3 linked regions of the Canis lupus familiaris genome follow. The protein of the gene in region 2 interacts with the protein of the main gene of each other region in a biochemical or structural test. Links are inferred from orthologs where the notes say so. Each region holds a gene or a part of one and is shown on either strand. Other genes may lie near its edges.

The links. The genes of interacting proteins can lie anywhere in the genome.
Region 1: of the proteins of MBP (region 2) and CDK9, one has a biochemical effect on the other in vitro, tested with the Homo sapiens proteins (2 studies listed by BioGRID). The link is inferred for Canis lupus familiaris from reciprocal best matches to the Homo sapiens genes MBP and CDK9.
Region 3: of the proteins of MBP (region 2) and MAPK3, one has a biochemical effect on the other in vitro, tested with the Homo sapiens proteins (5 studies listed by BioGRID). The link is inferred for Canis lupus familiaris from reciprocal best matches to the Homo sapiens genes MBP and MAPK3.

The regions. Positions count from the first base shown.
Region 1 is NC_049230.1:55,704,454-55,708,723, forward strand, and holds the start of CDK9 (cyclin-dependent kinase 9), read right to left. Parts: upstream 2,804-4,270; 5' UTR 2,736-2,803; coding exon 2,644-2,735; intron 2,185-2,643; coding exon 2,103-2,184; intron 1,302-2,102; coding exon 1,211-1,301; intron 865-1,210; coding exon 698-864; intron 576-697; coding exon 404-575; intron 247-403; coding exon 98-246; intron 1-97. UniProt on the Homo sapiens protein: Protein kinase involved in the regulation of transcription.
Region 2 is NC_049222.1:2,890,287-2,893,796, reverse strand, and holds part of MBP (myelin basic protein), read right to left. Parts: intron 1,826-3,510; coding exon 1,389-1,825; intron 1-1,388. UniProt on the Homo sapiens protein: The classic group of MBP isoforms (isoform 4-isoform 14) are with PLP the most abundant protein components of the myelin membrane in the CNS. They have a role in both its formation and stabilization.
Region 3 is NC_049227.1:18,278,800-18,282,952, reverse strand, and holds the start of MAPK3 (mitogen-activated protein kinase 3), read left to right. Parts: upstream 1-1,350; 5' UTR 1,351-1,364; coding exon 1,365-1,537; intron 1,538-2,551; coding exon 2,552-2,734; intron 2,735-4,153.

The DNA of each region.
Region 1 (4,270 bases), on a different chromosome or scaffold from region 2:
TTCCTGCTATTTCACTCCCCACTCCTCCCTTGCCAGGAGGACTTCTGGATCTCTGCGTCCTGTGGGGACCAGGGGCCCAGGCAGCCTGGCCACGCACCTCAGGGGTGATGGAGCCACAGAGCTGGCTGATGAGGGCAAGCTGGTGTTGCTCGGTGTTGCCCTGCATGATAGGGCTGCGGGTCCACATCTCGGCCATGATGCACCCAGCACCCCACAGGTCAATGGGGGGGCCGTAGTCCCGCTCCCCTGGGAAGAAGAGCGCACCAGGAGGGCCCCTTGAGCCCGAGGGCCTCCTGAGACGCAATGCCCCAGGGCCGGCGGCTCAAGAAGCCCTGGCAGTGGGGGACTGAGGCCGGGTAAGTGCCCAGCCCCTGCCCCACTCCGCCCGCTCGGGAGTCCTCACCGAGCAACAGCTCCGGAGGCCGGTACCAGAGCGTCACCACACGGTTGGTATAGCGATTGGGCTGGCTGTTCTTGGCCAGGCTGAAGGCCCGGGCCAGCCCAAAGTCGGCCAGCTTCAGAACCCCATCGCGAGTGATGAGCACATTAGCTGCCTTCATGTCCCTGTGCAGGATCTGCAGGAAGCGCAAGAGGGCTCAATCAGGTTTCCAAGGGGAACCCTCAGTCGCACCCACCCAGCGGTGGGAGCCGAGGCCCACCCCAGCCCGGGTCTCTCTTACCCCATGCTGACCCCCACCTTGTTTCTGTGGATATAGTAGAGGCCGTTGAGCAACATCTGCATGACCTTCTTGATCTCAGACAGTGTGAACTTGACCAAGACATTGCTCAGCAGCCCAGCAAGATCGTGCTCGCAGAAGTCAAACACTAGGTATATACTGCCTTTGCAGCGGTTATAGGGGGAAGCTGGGAGGGAAGAATGGGGGAGGAGTAAGAAAAAGAAAGTAAAAAACCCCACGTGCAACTCATTTCCCCACACAGCTTCTACCCCTCCAGCCCGTGGACACTGGGATATTCGGCTGTGCCTTCCTTCACTGGAAAACTATTTCCTGAGTGCCTCCTCTGGGCTGGGTGCTGTGGCAGGCCCTCGAGGAGCAACAGCTACGATGGAAGGACCCAAGAGCAGTCACAGTCGGTTTGTCTGGGTTAAGAAGAGGCAATTTAGGTGTGTCCACTTCCAACTTTGCAAAGCCTTAGGCAGTAAGCCTCATTTTCCCCATCTGTAAAGGGGGGCAGGAGCCAAAGAACCTACCTTTGGTTCGACAGATCTCAATTAAGTTGACCACATTCTCGTGTTTCAGAAGCTGGAGGATCTTGATTTCCCGCAAAGCCGTAATGGGGAACTGGGTAGGAGAAAGGCAAGAGGGGGCCTGAGGTGAGCGAGTCAACTATAGACCAATGAACAGACCAATGAACAACCGTGTGGTCCAGATCAAGGGGCACAGGTGCAGCAAACGAGTAAGGTCCCGGGCTCTGACATCATTTCAGATGTCTTAGCTGTAAAATGGGTGTAAAAATAGTATGTGCCCCTCAATGAGTTGCTCTGAGACAATGAACTGAAACAGTGGGACTTAATACCTACACACTTCACTACTCGTCACTAAATAAATGTTCCACAGTTTCTTCAATATTTAAGTTTTAGCTCTATACCTGTATTTAACTTACTAGGTGGAAACAAACAGCTATTTAAGGAAATGTCCTTGCTAAGCAGGTCTCTGGGAAGCTGGACTAGGGCTACAATGAGGCAAGGGAGGGGACTGCTCCTTTTCAACTGAGTACCAGCCACTCCCTTAAAACCACCAAGTGGAATTTCTTTCCGCCTTATGCAAAATGAATGCTAAGGAAACCGTGTTTAAAGGCTTCCTAACTTCAGGAACTAAGGCACACTCTGCAGGCATGAGCTCCCCCTCCTGGCCCCAACCGTATTTACCTAAGAGTGGGATATCAAAAGCTCTAAAACATTTGAATTAAAAAATTCAATTTGGAAGCCAAATTCCCCGAATACGGAAATTGCCTAACTACCCCCCCCCCCCCAACACACAGACACACAGGTTCTCCAGACGAGAGCCCTAGCAGAAGCAGGGTGGAAACCCAACCCCGAGCCCAGGGGAGCTGGCAGGCCCGCCCACCCGGCCCATACTCACCCCCTCCTTCTCGTTCTCCATCAGCACTTTCTTCAGAGCCACCTTTTTGCCGGTCTTACGGTGCTTTGCCTTAAATACCTCCCTGCAGGCCGAGAGGGAGACCCAAGAGGTTTTATCAGGCCGTTTCTGCAGGGCCCGCCCCTCCCCCACCAGAGGAGGGGGGCAGAAAAAAGGGATTCCCCGGGCGGGGCTGGGCCGGGGACCCAGGGCACTGCCCTACCTTGCCACCCGCTATCTGCGGAGCTTCGAGCCTCTACTTCCTCCCCTCAGTCTCCTCACTCAGGCGTCTCTCGGAGAGCCCGCTCCCACCACTGGCTCCTCTCCGTAACCCCTCCCCGCCCCCCATCACAGGCCTCAGGCTCCTCCCCGCCAGCCGGCTCGGTCAGGCCCAGGCGGGCCGCAGCGCGGCCTAGCAAAACCAGGGGACACGTCTGGCGCTCATGGCCTTCCCGACCACCTCGGGCCCGGCCCTGGGCATCGTGACGTCGGATTTGAGCGGTGCAGGCCCAGAGCGCCTGGTCCCCCGGGGGCGCAGCCTTACCCGAAGGTGCCTTGGCCGATCTTAGCGAGCTTCTCATATTTGGACACCTCATCACAAAAGGGACACTCCACCGAGTCGTACTGCTTTGCCATGGCCGCCTCCAGCGCGCCGCCGCCGCCGCCCCCAGCCGCCGCCGCCGCCGCTGCTCCCGCTCCGGGTCCCGCCGCCGTGCTCCAGGCCCCTCCGCGGCCGCGCCACTTCCGCCTCCACGGCCACTTCCGGCCTCGCGGCGCCGACCCCGCCTCTTCCGTCCGCCGCCCGCCGCCAGGCCCCCTGGGACTTGTAGTTCCCGGGAGGCCAGGAGCAGCCGGAGCTGCAGAGGCGCCTCCGCCGCCGCCGCTGCCCCCGCCTCCGCCGCCGCCACTGTTGGCGGCTGCCCCGATCGGGGGCGCGGGGAGCCGGGGCGCCGGGGCTGGGGCTCGGGGCGGTGCGTCCCGCTGCATCGGCCCGGGCCGCCGCTGCTGCCGGAGCCGCTGCCGCTCTGGCGCCCGATCCGGGGCCAGCCGCAGTGCCCTGCTCCTCCTCCTCCGACGGCGCCGCCTCCGCCGGGCTGCGCGGGGCGGCGAGCGGGGGGGTGGCCCCCGAGCCGCGGCCTGGGGTCTCCCTGGCCGGGCCCGGGCCCGGGGCGGCCGGGCAAGGGGGCGAGATGGGAAGAGCCGACGAGGAGGTGGCCCGAGAGCCCGGGAGGGGGCGCGTTATAAAGGGGGAGGTGCCCTGGCCTCGCCCTCCCCTCCCCCTCCGCCCGCCCCCCTCCCTCCTCCCTCCCACCCTCCGCGGCCGCACCTGCCGCCGCCGCCGCCGCCGCCGCCGCCGCCGCCGCCGCCGCCGCCCGCTGTCCGCCGGCCGCCCTCGGCGCGTCACCGCCCGCGGCCCCTCCTCCGCCTTCGGAGGTGGGGCCCCGAGCTCGACACCTGGCTGCGGAGCGCTTTGTCGCGTGCCTCAGTTTACCCCCCCATGCTAGCTGCCGCGGAGAGCCCTCTCCCCGGCTCGGAGTGCCCCTCCGCTGGGAAAGGCGGGAGGCGCCGAGGGAGCGGCCTCCGGTCCTGGGAGGAGAGAACGGCCCCCGCCGCCGCCTCCCCAGGCCCCAGCCGCCCGCCGTTGACATGGCAACCGACGGCCGCTAGGGGGCGCGGCGACACTGGAGACGGCGAGCGAGCAACGCCCGGGCCTTCCTGCCCTGGACCCCCAATTTTCTGGGAGGAAGGGATGAGACCCGCGGGAGCCCTATGCCCACCCAGCTGCGTCCGAGCGGGTCAGTCCCGGGTCAGTAATCACAAAAATGGCTAGCATTTGCTCAGAACTCCTGTGTGTTCAGGAATCGCTGGGCATTCCTGCTGAATCCTGCTGAATCCTCAATCAGGCGCCCCATGGGCAGGTTAACTAGCCCATTTTACAGAAGAGGGCATTGAGGTTCAGAGTGGTGAGGTCATTTGCCCAAGGTCACAGAGTGACAGCGCTGTGACTGGAACCTGGTCTGTCTGATTCTTTTTTTTTTTTTTTTTTTTAAAGATTTTATTTATTTATGATAGTCACAGAGAGAGAGAGAGAGAGGCAGAGACATAGGCAGAGGGAGAAGCAGGCTCCATGCACCGGGAGCCTGACGTGGGATTCGATCCCGCGTCTCCAG
Region 2 (3,510 bases):
TAGCCGTGCTCTGAAAAAGCACCTCGGACTGAAATCAACATTGGAAATAGGTCAGATGCCCAACATTTTGGGGTGACACAAGACTGCCCAAAAGGAAAAGCAAATGTCTACAAACACAGACACTGAAAGGACCAAGCAGAAGGTGAACGCTGTCAGCACTTAAGACGCGCCAAATGTTAGTCACGAGAAGGCATGACCAGTGACATGTGAGTGATGGCACCTGGGGGCAGATGCTGGGGACCTCACGACCAGCACCTGCGACATCCCCAGCTCCTGTGCCGCCATGTCCCCTAATTCCAACGTGGCAAAACTGCCTTTGTTTAAACACAAATCGCTCAACGATTTCACAATCAGCAGTAATTCTAAATTCTGTAGTTAGAGACTGAGCAAGTTTTAGAGACCCCTTTAGAAACCACAGGTCAGAAGCCTCTTTACATTCCCAAGACTTTCAGAGTCAGCATGATACGCACGCAGCCAGAGGAAAAGTGACAACTTAGGTGTTTTGTGAGCACAGCCAATAAACCCGGGCTTTCCCCAAAAGACCCTCTGCTTCCACAATGACCCAGCCAGGCAACACCCGGAAAAGGCATACAGCACTCTATGTGCTTGCTACGGCAAAGCCACTCGGGACTCAGCTCCCTGATGGGATGTCACCACAGATGCCCCATTCACACCGACTCCGGGAGCCACTGCTGGAAACTCGGGAACAATGGGAGCTTTTTCCCTTGCAATACAATTTTTATCTACAGAACATTTACATAATTACATAATGAGAGCTCACAGATTCTCTATTCAAATTAATGGAATAACAAAGTAATACAGTTTTGATTCATAGGCACTCTCAAGGATCCCTCCACCCCTTGCCCCTCAATAACTCAGATAAAAGACATATCTGCTCAAGGCGAATTTCAATCTTGAGTTTGTTCAAAAGTCCTCAATCGCATGATTGTTCCGAGACAACGCGAAGCTACAAGACAACGCGAAGCTAGCAGCGCTGACACCAAGAAAAGTGAGCACAATGCGACGTCGAACCCAAAAGCGCGGGCGCAGAAGCGAATCAGCCCCCAAGCCCCCAAGCGTGAGATGCCGGTGACCCGAGAACGCGGTGCCCGTGCCGGGCCCCCCTACGGATGCGGAATTCAGGATGTCCCGGCATCCCCTGTGAGGAGGGGAGAGAGGCTGAGCTGTGTGGAAATGCGGCAAAGCAGCAACCCGGCCCCCCGCCCCCCGCCCGCGCCTGTGGCCCGTGAGCGTCGCCAGCGAGGACAGACAGTAGCGGGACAGCATCCCCGCTGGGGCTTAGCTCACCTGCTCACTCTCCTTCCTTTTCCTTGTCAACTAAAGTGGACACACGTGGTGTGCGCCCCTAGTTACTCCTCAGAGCTCACCTTGCCTGAGCCCCGCTTGGGCACACCCCTGTCACCGCCAAAGAAGCGCCCGAGGGAGTCAAGGATGCCCGTGTCTCTGTGCCTCGGGAGGAAGCCATGCCTGGCGTGATCCATGGCGCTTGCTGAGGCCAGGTACTTGGATCCGTGCCTCTGGGAGGGTCTTTTCTGTGACGCCATCACATCCAGGCCCTCGGGAGTGGCTGCGCTGTCCTCTTGGATGGTCTGGAGCTCGTCTGACTCCGAGGGCCTGTCTTTGAAGGTGTTGTCCTCCCTCCCCGGGGCATCTCGGGAAAAGAGGCGGATCAAGTGGGGGCGGCCCCCTGGGTCAGCTGGGTTGGCGTCCTGCCAGGCATTCTTTGGGTCTGCTGTGCGCTTGGAGTCTGTCACCGCTGTGTCCTGAGAGGGGGTCCCATTGTTCTGCTCCACATCTGCCTCCCCTGCAAACAACAGTGAGATATGAACACGGGCCGTGCAAAGCAGAGTGAGGGACAATGCGGCTTTCTTCCAGGGCTGGGGACCTGCTTGTGTCCTACCAAACCCACAGAATGCATGCGCGCCCGGGGCCGTCAAGCTACCTGGTAGCCCCAGATCACTCGTGGTGGGACCCAACCTGGACTGAGCGTCCTACTTGCAGGTCTTGTCTCGGGGAACCCCAGGGGCTGCCTCAGTTACTCGACACCTGGTGCCCTAGATAAAGCGTACCCCAGCTTCCTGCTGAGGAGGCCCAAGCAGACACAGCAGTCACCCCTGGGCGCCGCCGCTGCTGCTGCTGGGCGTGGAGGGGCCAGGGCTGCAGGCGCCTCTGTGGGACATCGAATCCCTCCAACTCCACTGGTGCACAAGCTAAGCGTGTTGGGAGCAGTGGTTTGATCAAAGGTATTTTCAGTGTTCTCGATAAAAATGGAACTTCCCACATCTTTTTGCAATTCATGCCCTAAAGAAATGGGGCATTTAGAATCCTTGAGTTTCCAGATTCCACAAGAGGCCTCTTGCATTAGAGAATTGCTTATTCAGGGTATTTTAATTTGGCTTTTCTTCTGCAAGCAGCCCCAGTTACAAAGTGTGAAGTGGGAATGGCGTATTCTGTGAGCCATATGACCTTCTCCCAGCTTTCACACATGTACGGGAAAATACCGCATTTCCTTCCAGAATGGCAACACACCCATTTTGCTCTCAAGTTACAAGTTAGGTTTGAGGGTATGTCCACCCTACTTCACTCCCCCCTTCATTACATATCTATAGAAAATGTGGGTTTACTCATGCTTTCCTCTAATATCATCCATCCATCCATCCATCCATCCACCCAACCAGCACCAATCTGTTCACTGACATTTACCAGCAACAGCACCCACTTGCCCATTTATCTGCTGAGCCACCTACCTACCAATCCAGCTACTGATCCAGTCACTGACCTGTCCACCCAGCTAACCCTCCACCCAGTCAGCTGCACATCTTTCCACCTACCCACCCAATCACCCATCCATCTGCCCGCCCACCCACCCAGCCCCCCAACCATCCATCCACCTGCCCAACTACCCACTCACCCAGCTGTCCAATCATCTATCCACCCACCCCCAGCCAACCACCCACCCAACAGCCCAACCATCCATCCACCCACCCAACCATCCACTCACACACCCAACCACCAACTCAGCCACCCATCCATCCACCTGGCCACCCATTCATTATTTATGGAGCACTTAATAACCATCATATACTGAGCTAAATGTTTGGGCTGCAGTGATGAAAAAGATGTGGTCCTTGTCTCATAAACATTAATGGAAATGAATATTAGGAAATGAAGTATCCCCCAAAAAGGCAGGTCCCCATCCTAAGTCTCAGTCCCTGTGAATGTAAACTTATTTGGAAATAGGATCTTTTGTGGATATAATCCAGGTAAGATGAGGTCGTCCTGGCTGAGGGTGGGCCTAACCAAGTGACTGGCTGGTGTCTGTATAAAAAGAGGGAGATACAAAAGGGATATAAAAAGATACAGACGCAGACACACAGGGAAGGGACCTTGGGATGGTGGCAGGGACGGGAGTGACGTGGGAACACCCGAAGGTAAGAGACAGGGCACAGGTCCTCCCCTAGAGCTGGTGGCGAGAGCACAGCCCTGCTG
Region 3 (4,153 bases), on a different chromosome or scaffold from region 2:
GCACATAAGGATCTACTCTTAGCTTCTAAGGGATTATAAAACAAACAAACAAACAAAACCCAACGTGGTTACTTACTGAAGGCTAGGAGATGTGTTTTGTGAAGCGTCCAGCTCACAGCTTCTCTGTGAAGTGAGGGGAATGGACTGGATGGCCTCGGAGGGCCCTTTCCTGGGTTTTAACAGGCTCTGATTCTGGGAGATTGAATGGAATTGAAAAGAGCCTCTGCCTCTGTGTCAAAAGATATCATTTTAAGTCTCAACTCCCCATCCATACAATTTGATTTATCCAGTCAAAAATCTTTGAACGTCTGAGCGTCAGGTACAGGGGAGGATACAGTAATGAGCAAGACAGACATGGCCCCTGCTCATCCTGTTAAGAAAATCGGAGGACACCTATAATGTGCGGTTGTCCTATGGAAGAAACCCAGCTGGTCCAAGTATGGTGTAAACTACAAAATCTTGCATCCCATCAAAAGATGGTGATCCTGCCAGGATTCCAGTTTCACCAAGTCCAATGACAACAAAATCGTCACCTATTTTGCTGTTTTTTGAGAGAAGCCTGATAGTGTATTTTAACCAAACCTGGTCAACACTGCAGGCAGCTTTCCCGCCCTTCTGTTGCAGTTCCACCTAAATGGGCTGAGGTTATGGGTGCTCACTTCCAGCACTGTACTGTCGCTGGCAAGAGGCCAAGCCCCTAGTCCACTCTCGCAGGCCTGTCAGAAACCCATTAGGCTGAGTCTGGACCTGCGGGTTCTCGGTGGCTCCAAGTCACCAGCCTCGGCCCCTCATCTGTGAAAGGCAGGCCGTATCTGCGAAGAAGCCATCTCCCACGCTACTGGGAAATGCGGATGCGGCCGTGTGTCGTCGGGCCGAGCCTCGCTCGGAGGCCACACTCCAGAGGGCTGGGGAGGGCCCCCTTGGGGCTCCATCTCGAGCCCCGGGCCGCGACTCGGTTGGCAGCAGAGCTGGCGGGGCCAGGCGACTCGGTCCCGGCCCCAGCTCCCGCACCCGCTTGCTGGGTGGCTCCGGGAAGGTCACCTGGCGGCCCTGCCGGCTATAGCCTGCATTCGGCGGGAGGGGTGCACCGTCTCCCGGCCGCCGCGCTCGTCCCTACGGGCTGCCAGCAGCAGACGGAGCGGCCGGGCACCGGGGACCCGGGCAGCAGCCGAGGGCGCCCGGGAGCGCGCGGGGGTCACGTGGGGCGCGCGGGGGCGCGCGGGGGCGCGCGGGGGCGGGGCCTGGCGCACGCGGCTCAGCCGGCGGCGGGGCGCGGGGCGCGGGGCGCGGGGCGGGCGGGAAGGGGCGGGGCCTCGGGCGGGGCCGCCGGGGGGAGGCGGGGAGGCGGGAGGGGAGGAGTGGAGATGGCGGCGGCGGCGGCGGCTCAGGGGGGCGGGGGCGGGGAGCCCCGGGGAGCCGATGGGGTCGGCCCGGGGGTCTCGGGGGAGGTGGAGGTGGTGAAGGGGCAGCCGTTCGACGTGGGCCCGCGCTACACGGAGCTGCACTACATCGGCGAGGGCGCGTACGGCATGGTCAGGTGAGGGGGCGTTCCGGAGGAGGGGGCTCGTGGGGGGGCGCGCGCGAGGGTGAGTGCCCTCGGGCCGGGGCGCTCCCAGGGTCCCGAGGAGGCGGGGGCTTCACGAGGCCGGCGGGGCGTCCCACGGCGCGGCCCTGGGGTGCTCTGGGGGAGCGGCGCCGCCTACGTTCTAAGGGGAGGGGGCTTGGGAGGCCTCAGGAGCGACCATTCTGTAGTGAAGGGAGGGGCATCGGAGTGTCCGCGGGGGAGCCGTGGGGGGACCCTGGGGACTCTGTGGACGCGGGAGGAGGCGGAGACACGAAGTATTCTTGGGGAGGTGATATCAGTGAGGACCGAGTGAAGGACCCTACTCTGGGGAAAGGATGCCTTGGATTCTCCCAGTGAGGCCTGCCAAGGAGCTGGGGAGAGCAGAGCTCAGGGCTGGGCAGGGTGGGGCAGGGCTTTGGGCCTGGGGCCAGGAGCCCGGTGACCCATGAGGGGTCCAGGGGTGCGTTCTTGCAACTTTTAGAAGGGGTCTGTTAGCTCTCTCGTCCCCACTGTGTGCTCTGGGCCTTTGTTCATCTGGGAACAGCTCTCCTGCCCAGGTGCCTGACCCTAACACCTCATCCCTTCTTTCCCATCCCTCCTGACCGCCTCCTTCTCACTGTGCCTCACTGTGCGTCCTGCACTCACCTCCCACTCCCTGGACCTGTCTTGGGTTGAAGGAGCCCAGCCTGGAGAGGGGAGGATGAGAGGTCAGGGCAACTAGAATGGACAGGGCTGAGGAGAGGGGAAGTCAGTGAACGGTCAGTCTCTTCCTCTGTTTGTGAAGTCACCGAAGGGCTGCCTGGCTGGTCCCCAGCTTTCTCCCTGGAGATCCCAGGCCTTCACAGCAGGAAGGAACCAGCATTGTTTATGACTTGGCCAGAGTCCTCTCATGCTCCCTCCCCTCCCTGCTCAGGCCTGGGTAGGGCCACCAGGCCTGGACTCCCCCTATGTAAGGCCACACCAACAACATCTCTCTGACCCTCTCAGCTCAGCTTACGACCACGTGCGCAAGGTTCGCGTGGCCATCAAGAAAATCAGCCCCTTTGAGCATCAGACCTACTGCCAGCGCACACTGAGGGAGATCCAGATCTTGCTGCGCTTCCGCCATGAGAACGTCATTGGCATTCGGGACATTCTGCGGGCGCCCACCCTGGACGCCATGAGGGATGTGTATCCTTCACCTTGGCCAGATGGCTGGCTAGGCATAGCCTCAGAGCCGGGCTGGGAGAACGTTGGCTTTCTTTCTGTTTCCTTCTTTCCTGCCACACTCCAAAACAAACCCAGCAAATGAAACTTTCCAGCAGAAAAGAGACCACAGAGTGTAAGAGGACTGGGAGGCCTGAGGTGAATCCTGGCCTGCTGTAACCAGGCTGTGTGGCCTTGGGCAAGTCTGTGCTCCATGCTGTGCCTCATTTGGGGGGAGGGTGAGAGTTGGGCTCTATGGGAGCTTTGTCTTTTGACATCTGCATTTCTGTGACGTGACCCAGCCTCTGCCCACAGACAGTTCTTGTTTAACAGATGATGATTCTTTCCTCTCTGGGTCTGCAGACTGGAAGGAAGGCAGGAAGGAAGAAAACTGCCCGTTCTGAAGGGCCTACTATGAGTGAGGTGCAGTGCACGCCAAATGCTTTGACACTTCTTATTCTACCTCCCAGCTGCTGTATGAGATGGGTCTCATCAGCTCCATTTCAAAGATGAGAAAACTGAGGCTCAGAAAGCCCCAAATCAGGTGCTGCTGTTGCTGCCTCCTAACCTCCCCCAGATGAGAACTGTCCTTTCTCTGACATTTCCTGCTCAGAGCCTCACCCCAGTCACCTGTGGACTTGCACTTCGCCCAGGGAGGGACAGCCTTGTCTTTGTTGCCCTCCCCCCCCCACATTGCTTCCCTAGCTTGTCGTCCACTTCCTGTCAGGCCCTGTTGTTAGCAGCTTATAGCACCCATCACCTCTCCCCACCCTACCCACCCCCAGCCAGTCCCAGTTCTCCACCCAAATGTGGGGATTTGTGCTGCACTGTCTGCAGCCCCCACCACAAGCTGTGGGCAGGAAATCTCCACACTCGCCACTAGCTTGCTGTGTGACCTTAAGCAAGTCACTGCATCTTGCTGGGCCTCCTCACCTCTCAAACAGCATAATCGGCCCAGGTGTCTTCAGAAGGCTCTTTCAAGGCTGATTCTAAAAGACAGCCCTGACTTATTCTTTCAGAGAGCAACCAAATGGCATTTATTTATTTATTTATTTATTTACTTAACGTATGTTTAATCTTTGTTTTCTCTTAAAATACCAAAGGACATTTACTCTTCCATCTTCTGATGTATGGCCAGGCACTCTTTGAGGAGGAGCATGCTGTTGGGAGTTTCTCCTCATTTGTCTTGCCCAAACCATTCCCCATAAGGCAGGCATTTATTTTTAAGCAAACATTTATTGCATGCCAGATGGTGTTCACACTATCTCATTTAACCCTCTCAACAGCCATGTGGCTTAGGCATTTATCATAGCAACACTAGTTCATGTTTGCTGAGCACTTACAACATGCTAGGCTCTGGACTGGGCCGGCTGGTTTCCATGGGTCACCTCACTGAGTCTTCAT